Cricetulus griseus: one gene and its partner. The protein of the gene in region 1 interacts with the protein of each later gene in a biochemical or structural test. Links are inferred from orthologs where the notes say so. Each region holds a gene or a part of one and is shown on either strand. Other genes may lie near its edges. The genes, in order: Plcg1 and Gab1.

Region 1 (3,804 bases):
TCTTGGTTCCCACTGCCTCCTGGCTGCTTCCTGACGTGCCCTTGCATGTGGCTGCCTCTCTTCTGAACGGTCCTGTGAATAAAGTACCCCAGGTTCTTGCCTCCCATCATTTTGCCCTGTAAGAAACTATTTGGACTGAGGCTCACTGTACTTACTCCTTGCCCTCCAGATACCCAGTCATCCTGTCCATCGAGGACCACTGCAGCATTGCTCAGCAGAGAAACATGGCTCAGTACTTCAAAAAGGTGCTTGGTGACACACTCCTTACCAAGCCTGTGGACATTGCTGCTGATGGACTTCCTTCGCCCAACCAGCTCAAGAGGAAGATCCTTATTAAGGTGTGGTGCAGTTGGTAGGAGGATCCCTGAGTTAAGGATGGGACTAGGTGTGGAATGATTGCTGTGACCTGGTCTGCTTCCACAGCACAAGAAACTGGCTGAGGGCAGTGCCTATGAGGAGGTGCCCACTTCTGTGATGTACTCTGAGAATGACATCAGTAACTCCATCAAGAATGGTATCCTCTACTTGGAGGACCCCGTGAATCATGTGAGGTCTAGCTGAGCCTGGACATGGTGGGGTTGGGCCGTGTGTTGGACTCTGGCTCACAGGTCTCCTGTGGTCTGTTCCAGGAATGGTATCCCCACTACTTTGTTCTGACTAGCAGCAAGATCTACTACTCTGAGGAGACCAACAGTGACCAGGGCAATGAGGATGAAGAGGAGCCTAAGGAGGTAGAACTGTTCAGGGGTGTGGGTTGAGCAGGATGAGAACTGGGTAGTCACTGGGTGTCTTTGCTATTGTCCTCCTGTCTAGGCCAGTAGCAGCACAGAGCTGCACTCCAGTGAGAAGTGGTTCCATGGGAAGCTCGGGGCTGGGCGCGATGGGCGGCACATTGCCGAGCGCCTGCTCACTGAGTACTGCATTGAGACTGGGGCTCCTGACGGCTCCTTCTTGGTTCGAGAAAGTGAGACCTTCGTGGGTGACTACACGCTGTCTTTCTGGTAACCCACATCTGCACAGTACCTGTGTTTAGTCTACTTGTACTAGACATAGTTCTTGGGGATAACTGCTTAACAGTTCAGCCTTGGCTCTAGGTTTTCCATGGAACATAATTCTTTCCTACACAGGCATGTGTGTACTTAAACATGCGTGTTTGTGTTTGATCTGTATGACCTCCTATAGGGCTGCTCACTATCCAAGCTTCTTTGGAGAATGGTCTCCCTTTTTGAAGCTTTATACCTTGCCTAGTTACGTATTCTTTGGAGCTCTGACCTGTTTTTCATGCCTGTCTCATCCTGTCTTTCCTCAGGCGGAATGGGAAAGTTCAGCACTGCCGTATCCACTCCCGGCAGGATGCTGGGACTCCTAAGTTCTTCTTGACAGATAACCTTGTCTTCGACTCCCTCTATGACCTCATCACACACTATCAGCAAGTACCGCTGCGCTGCAACGAGTTTGAGATGCGCCTTTCGGAGCCTGTCCCACAGACAAATGCCCATGAGAGCAAAGAGTGAGGAAAGGGACAGGGAGATGAGTGTGGTATGGGAAGTTCTAGTCAGGGCCTGACTCTGCTGGTTTTCAGGTGGTACCACGCAAGCCTGACCAGAGCTCAAGCTGAACATATGCTGATGCGCGTGCCCCGTGATGGGGCCTTCCTGGTACGGAAACGCAATGAGCCCAACTCATATGCCATCTCTTTCCGGTGAGCTCTGCTGGATGGGTGTGGGTTCTTGCTGGGTCTGGGTCATCTGCCATGCTGACTGTCCTTTCGTTGTGAAGGGCTGAGGGAAAGATCAAGCACTGCCGAGTACAGCAGGAAGGCCAGACTGTGATGCTGGGGAACTCTGAGTTTGACAGCCTGGTTGACCTCATCAGTTACTATGAGAAGCATCCCCTCTACCGCAAAATGAAGCTGCGCTACCCCATCAACGAGGAAGCACTAGAGAAGATTGGGACAGCTGTGAGAGGCCACAGGGGTGGGGGAGGCCATAGCAGTGTACTTAGAGGACACAGTAACTGAGGTCTCTGCCTGTGCTGAGAGAGAATCCTGGGGTGTTTTGAAGTTCACAGAAGGCCCTGGGAGCCATGGTGTATATAGCTAGAGTGAGTGAGACCTGAGCCGTGCCTGGGCGTTCAGGCAAGATCCCCTTGAACCAAGGGGTGGGTAGCAAGGTCTGGCAGCTTACAAGAGAGGTGTGCGCACATGGGCTTGATCTGGGTGTGTTGGGCAGAGGGCAGGCTAGGTACAATTGTATGGATGCCTCAGGCTCTGGAAAGAAGACCTAGGTTTTCCAAGGAAGAGGGTTTGCTGGACCTCTTCCTGACCTTGGGCTCAGCCATTGAACAACTCCAAGTCTGCGATGCTGGTGGCAGCTCAGCAGCAGGCAACTCCGGAGCAGGTGGCATTTGAGTTTTCAGGGGCCAAGGTGATAGACCTTGAGTAAGAGTGCAAAATGAGGGTGAGGCTGAGTCCCTACAGTCACCCTCACTCTCTCGGGGTTGGGGGATTCCAGTAGGCCAAGTGTCAGTGAATGGGGCAGACAGCCTATAGAAGAGGGCCAGCTATGCTTCAGAGACCAGGCAAGTGGGAGCTAGCAGCTGCTTTTATCTCAGTGCTGGGCATTAATGGATACAACGTGTCCTGTTTCTAGGAACCCGATTATGGGGCACTCTATGAGGGCCGCAATCCTGGCTTCTATGTGGAGGCAAACCCTATGCCGACTTTCAAGGTAAGTATCTGTCCTTGACTCAGGAAGCCAGGAGGAAGGAGAGGTCCCCTTCTGCATGGGGTTTGTATTTCTATATTCTGGGCCCCCTGTGGTATGGAGAAGTAATGGCTGTGGTTTCCTGAGACTGAGGAGGCTGTAGGAGACATGTGGCTCTGTTCCCTGAGAGTGACCTCCATGTCTTTCACAGACAGTAGAATGGACTAGATGGCACACTGGGCAGCCATTCCCTTCATCATGGAGATCCATTAGATAGGCTCTTTTGGTTTGCCCCTTTCTTTAATATGGCAGACTGCCCTATCCCTCTTCCCTCTCTTCAGTAGCCAGAGTGCCATTAGAGAGAAGTGAGGGTCCTCACGCTGTAGGGAGGTACAGGAGCGCATTTACTCTTATGGAGCCACCAGTCTTACTCCTAGGAACAGACCCAAGGCAGGGCTCCAAAGGTTCCATGTCAGTGGCCAGGAGGTTCCCTGGAGAAAGCCCTCTGTCTTCCTAACTTGGTTGTCCTAAAACTTCCATAGGACAGCATGCAGAACTGTGTCTAGCAATACTTGCTAACAGCGATCCCTCCCACTGGTATAAGCCCAGGCACTGGGTGAAGTGATGGGGAGAGCCCGCCCCTCTGCTCTACTCCACACAATCCCATCTTCTCACCTCTGCAGTGTGTAGTAAAAGCCCTGTTTGACTACAAGGCCCAGAGAGAGGATGAGCTGACCTTTACCAAGAGTGCCATCATACAGAATGTGGAAAAGCAAGATGGTGGCTGGTGAGCCAGGCCCTCCAGGCTGGAGAGTCTGTGGTGTGGTGGGATGGGAGTCCAGGAACTTCGTGGAGCTAGCACTGAGAATACTGTGACAGTATGCTTCGATAGAATCTGTCTCATGTTCAGTAGTAGTGTCTGACTTCTATGTGGGAACCCCCAAAAAGATCCTGTGGGAGTTTGGGGTCATTGCTAGAGTCAGTACCTTGTGGTTCCCACAGGTGGCGAGGGGACTATGGTGGGAAGAAGCAGCTGTGGTTCCCCTCAAACTATGTGGAAGAGATGATCAACCCAGTCATCCTAGAGCCAGAGAGGGAG
Region 2 (4,546 bases), on another chromosome or scaffold:
TTTATTTTTTATGTGTATAGATATTTTGTTAAAGAGGTAATTTGGTACATTATTTTGACTGTCTCCCGAGAACTGGGATTACAGATGTAAGTTGCCAAACAGTTAAAAATTTTGTATATAAGAATGGAATAACTGATACTTATTTGAAAGAAAAAGCTGTAATTGAAATTCTCAACGTTAAGTCATACAAGATAGATTCCACTTTTCTTTTCCATCTGAAAGCACTTTGTGGCAAGAATGGAGGGTGCTGTCCCTTTTTATATATTCAGGGACTTCTGTCTCATTACTAACGCAGCACTTCTGCCTCCTCCTGCCTCAGTTCCTCCCTCTGTTCCATCTTTCTCCGACCCCCCCCCCCTTCAGGTCGGAGACTGCAGGTGTGCCACCATGCCAGGCTCTCGGCACTTTTCCCTCTCTCCAAACTACAACATTGCAAACTCAGAACTCCTGTTTTTTTTGTTTGTTTGTTTTGGTTTTTCGAGACAGGGCTTCTCTGTATTGCTTTGGAGCCTGTCCTGGAACTCACTCTGTGGATCAGGCTGGCTTCCAACTCACTGAGATTCATCTGCCTCAGCCTCCTGCTTCCTGGGATTAAAGGCATGCACCACCACCTCCGGGCTAGAACTGTTTATTAGGAGAGTCCCAAGTATTATATACTTTTCAGAAATGCTGGTTTATCAATTCATATTTTCACACAGTCCTCTGTTTTTTGAGACTGGATCTCTCTTTGTAGTCCTGGTTATCCTAGAACTCACTTTGTAGACTAGGCTGGCCTGGAACTCAGAGAGATCCGCCTGCCTCTGCCTCCCGAGTGCTGAGATTAAAGGCATGCGCCACCACACCATGCTCTGCAGCACTTATATCTGATTATCTATATTACCTTTTAAAATTTGTTCCAAGGCTTTGTTCCAAATAACACGCATAAATAAGAGCTCTACCACAGGACTGTGTCAAACTCGTCCCAGGTATAATAAGTAAAACACACAGAAGGCAAATAGAACTATGGCATCCAGTACGATTCTGTTTCCTGTCCAACGTCCTAGGGCAGGTTTTAAGCAAATACAAAGCCAACTGAAAGAAACAACCCACGAATGAAGGTAGTGTGAGACTTTATTGTGTCTCAGAACTACATGCTGCTGAACGCTTTGTTGAGGCTAAGGAATCGCAATGGGCAGAACGGCTCCTGGGTCAGGCCCTAGGCGTCCTGGAAGTCCCTCTCCGTCTCCCGGTGCACAGCAGGGCGCGCTCCTGGTCCTGGGGAGGAAGCCCTTTAGCCTCGCGCGACCGGTACCTTGGCTGGGTTATTTTTTCAGGCTGTCAGGTCGAGAAAAGCCCTCGAAACTCCGGATCGCGAGGGTACAGCCCATTCCAAACTCCTAGCTGACACCAGGTAGTGTCAAGATGGCAAACTCAGATGGAGCTGGCGAGCATGCCCGGCGCTCCCGCGCTCGTGCCAAGGTGGCGCTGCGTTCCCGGAGACCGCCGCCTTGCCCAGCGCGCGGGCCCGGGGCGGCAGGGCGGCGAGGACCCCAGCGCGCCGCTGACTACAGATCCCAGGGTGCCTCTGCCATCTCGCTCCCTCCCAGCACCGGCCCCGCCTCCCCGGCCCTTGTTTTGGCTGGAAGCGCTCCGGAGGAGTTTCAGAGAAAGTCTGGGCAGAAGCTGGAGGCGACCGATCGTGGGAAGGGGAGGCGGAAAGGCAGGAGAAGGAGGGCCCACCCCGGGCCGCGCCTCCCCGAACCCGCCGCGCGCCCCCGGGTGGGGGAGGAGCGCAGGGGACGGGACCGAGGGGTCCCTTCCCGGAGCAGAGCCGCCCTGTGCCTCGTCCCTGCGCTGATCCCCGCCCTCGTCGGAGGCTGGAGCGCAGACCCACCCTCCCGCCGCGGACCCGCGACCTCCCCGACGCCAGGCGACGCCCCGCGCCTCGCCGCCGGTGCTCGCACTCCCTAAGCGGATCGGGAGCGGGACTTGCCCCTGCGTCCGCTGCCACCGGGAAGCCACACGCCTTCCCGGGGGCCCTCCTCGGAGCAGAGGGAAGGAGAAGATCGCGCCCCGCTCGCTGAAAGCGCCAGCGGGCGGAGCGGAGCGGACTCCGCGCGCGGGCATTGTGTGCGCGCGTGCAGCGTGGGGTCCGCAGCAGGGAGCGCTCGCGGGAGGTCCTGTCCCCCCCAAGGGGCGGAGCGCCAGGCGCCGAGCTCCCGACTCCGTGTCCCGGCTGAGTCCCAGCTGAGCCCGACCGCTGCCGAGGCGGCGGGACGGCGCGCCTGGCGGCCGGGAGGGTGCACTGAAAGAAGGCGGGTGAGCTCTGGTCCCCGCGGCTCCCGCTCGGGTTCTGCTTCGATCCGCGGGTCTGCGGAAGAGACTCGATCGCCAACACAGGGCGCGCGGAGCCCGGCCGCCCCGTCGAGGGAATCGGCGAATTCCTCGGGTTCGTGTGTGCCGGGAGCGCGCCCACTGTCTCCACCGACCTCTCCGGTGTCTGGCCCTCGAGCCCTCACGGCGTGCACCATGAGCGGCGGCGAAGTGGTCTGCTCGGGATGGCTCCGCAAGTCCCCCCCGGAGAAGAAGTTGAAGCGTTATGTAAGTACAGGTCAGGGCACCGCCGGCCACGGCAGCAGCAGCCTGCTCGCCGCCGAGCTCTTCCACGAATCCCGCCCTCCGCTTCCTCGATCCCTCTCTCGGCCAGCTGGCTTCGGACCGGGTGCGGTCCACTCGCACCCTGGCGTCCACTTGGCGGCCAAACTTTCTCCCTCCATGTTGCAGACCGCCTCCCCTGCAGGCCTCGCCGCCCCTTAGAGGGGCCCAGGCTCAAGCCGGCTGCATACTTTTCGTTGTTGTTAATTCCACTGAGCAAGGGTGGGGTGAAAACGGAAAGAAAGAGCCTTCTTTTATTATCTGCATCTGATTCACATGGAGCTATTTACATCTCCCGGCACCGAGGGCTAGTAGTGATCATCAGTTCTCCCTTGGGTCCGCGCCCCCTCTGCGCCTCTAGGAGGTTGAGGGAAGCGAATCGTGGACGCGAGAAGTGGATCGTATAGGCAAACTTCTCAAAACTACTCACACAAGGGAAAGTGTTGGGGCGGGGGTTGGGGGGAGTTCTTACGCGCCCTACCGTCTGCTTAGCAGGGTTCACATTTTCGCGGTTTTGCTTTGAGGGACACTGGAGTGTGGCCCGAGAACGCCGGCGGTTTGATGCGACCGGAGGGCGCTGGGGGGAGCATGGTGGCTAATGTTTGGGCTCCCCGGACGCGCTGTCAAGCCCCGCAAGAGGGGACAGCTGAAGGCAGCAGGGATTTCTGGGTGTTGTGATTCTTTTCCAGGGCACCAGAACGGCTTAAATGGTATTTGTGTAATTGACTCAAGATGCTGATTGTGTGTTAAACTGTGTTCTCTGTCAAGAAAACTGTATCTTGAAGGAATCTACACTACTGCAGTGGAAGTCTGTGTCCTACTCAGGAGTCTGGGATCTTAAATCTTACTCCAGATCGACTAATTTTACGATGTCCCCTGCCAGCGAAGAAATGACACTTTGTCCTGGCAGCTGAAGCAATTATTTTTTGAGTAAACGTGTTTTCCTAAAGCAAAACGTACAGCGTACCCCCTTAACCGGTTTTGATGGAAACTGTTTCTGGTTGAAGGGAATCTACACCAAGTACCCACCTCAAGTTAGTCAATCCGATTACTCACTGCTTGCTTGCATGAAACGGGCAATATTTATTTCACAGAGCTCACCATCGAGTTTCTGGTTTACTTTCTGCTAGAATATATTACAGACAAGCAGTTTTATTGAAAGATGTGCTTCGTTAAATTGTCGGAGGATCCCCAAAGATGCCTGTCACGTTTTCCTGGATTTCTTGGTAAAGATGGCAATTTGATTCCAAAAATTTTAGAGAGTGGTAGTGGTGTCTTCAGAATTAGTTGTAAAGAGACTATTGTGTGAAGGAGGAGGGGTGGGGAGATGGAGATACTAGGCTTGAGACGCACTGCTTAGGGAAGATGGCGTTAGGATTCTCAGGGAAACTACAGTACAGTATATATGGCTGATAATGGCAATAGAAACTCAGCACACTCTTTCCCATTAGTTTGTGGCTCACTAGTGGTGCTGAACTCGGTCCTAGGCACCAGCCACAAGGGAAGGTAGTACAGAAGGGGAAAGCCTTGTAGGAAGAATGGTCTTAACAAAGGCCAAAATAAAATAAAAACTGGGCATGGTGGTATATGCTCCTAACACCCAGTACTTGGGAGACAGAAATGGAAGGATTAAGGCTAGCCTGGTCTACATAGCAATTCTAGGCTAACAAGGGCTGTATCTCAAAAACAAAACCACAAAAACAAAATAAAGTTTGTTACTAATACAAATATTAATAATAAATACATAGATAACAATAAGCAGAAGTGTGTGGGAGAATATATATGTGTATGATTATGTATATTTACATGTGTCATTTGTTGACAACAGCAATTTTCTCCCATTGGAGTGGGTTCATTCAGGGTGATATGGCCATGTACTACAGCAGTTTGCTAGATGTGGGGCTTGGTGGGG

What was found.
Region 2: the proteins of Plcg1 (region 1) and Gab1 form a complex in vitro, tested with the Homo sapiens proteins (2 studies listed by BioGRID and IntAct, with this or other methods). The link is inferred for Cricetulus griseus from reciprocal best matches to the Homo sapiens genes PLCG1 and GAB1.

Annotation. Positions count from the first base shown.
Region 1 is NC_048599.1:18,755,939-18,759,742, reverse strand, and holds part of Plcg1 (1-phosphatidylinositol 4,5-bisphosphate phosphodiesterase gamma-1), read left to right. Parts: intron 1-169; coding exon 170-338; intron 339-423; coding exon 424-546; intron 547-629; coding exon 630-731; intron 732-813; coding exon 814-1,001; intron 1,002-1,309; coding exon 1,310-1,510; intron 1,511-1,582; coding exon 1,583-1,702; intron 1,703-1,779; coding exon 1,780-1,960; intron 1,961-2,651; coding exon 2,652-2,729; intron 2,730-3,388; coding exon 3,389-3,492; intron 3,493-3,707; coding exon 3,708-3,804. UniProt on the Homo sapiens protein: Mediates the production of the second messenger molecules diacylglycerol (DAG) and inositol 1,4,5-trisphosphate (IP3). Plays an important role in the regulation of intracellular signaling cascades.
Region 2 is NC_048596.1:156,648,547-156,653,092, reverse strand, and holds the start of Gab1 (GRB2-associated-binding protein 1), read left to right. Parts: upstream 1-1,638; 5' UTR 1,639-2,508; coding exon 2,509-2,580; intron 2,581-4,546. UniProt on the Homo sapiens protein: Adapter protein that plays a role in intracellular signaling cascades triggered by activated receptor-type kinases. Plays a role in FGFR1 signaling. Probably involved in signaling by the epidermal growth factor receptor (EGFR) and the insulin receptor (INSR).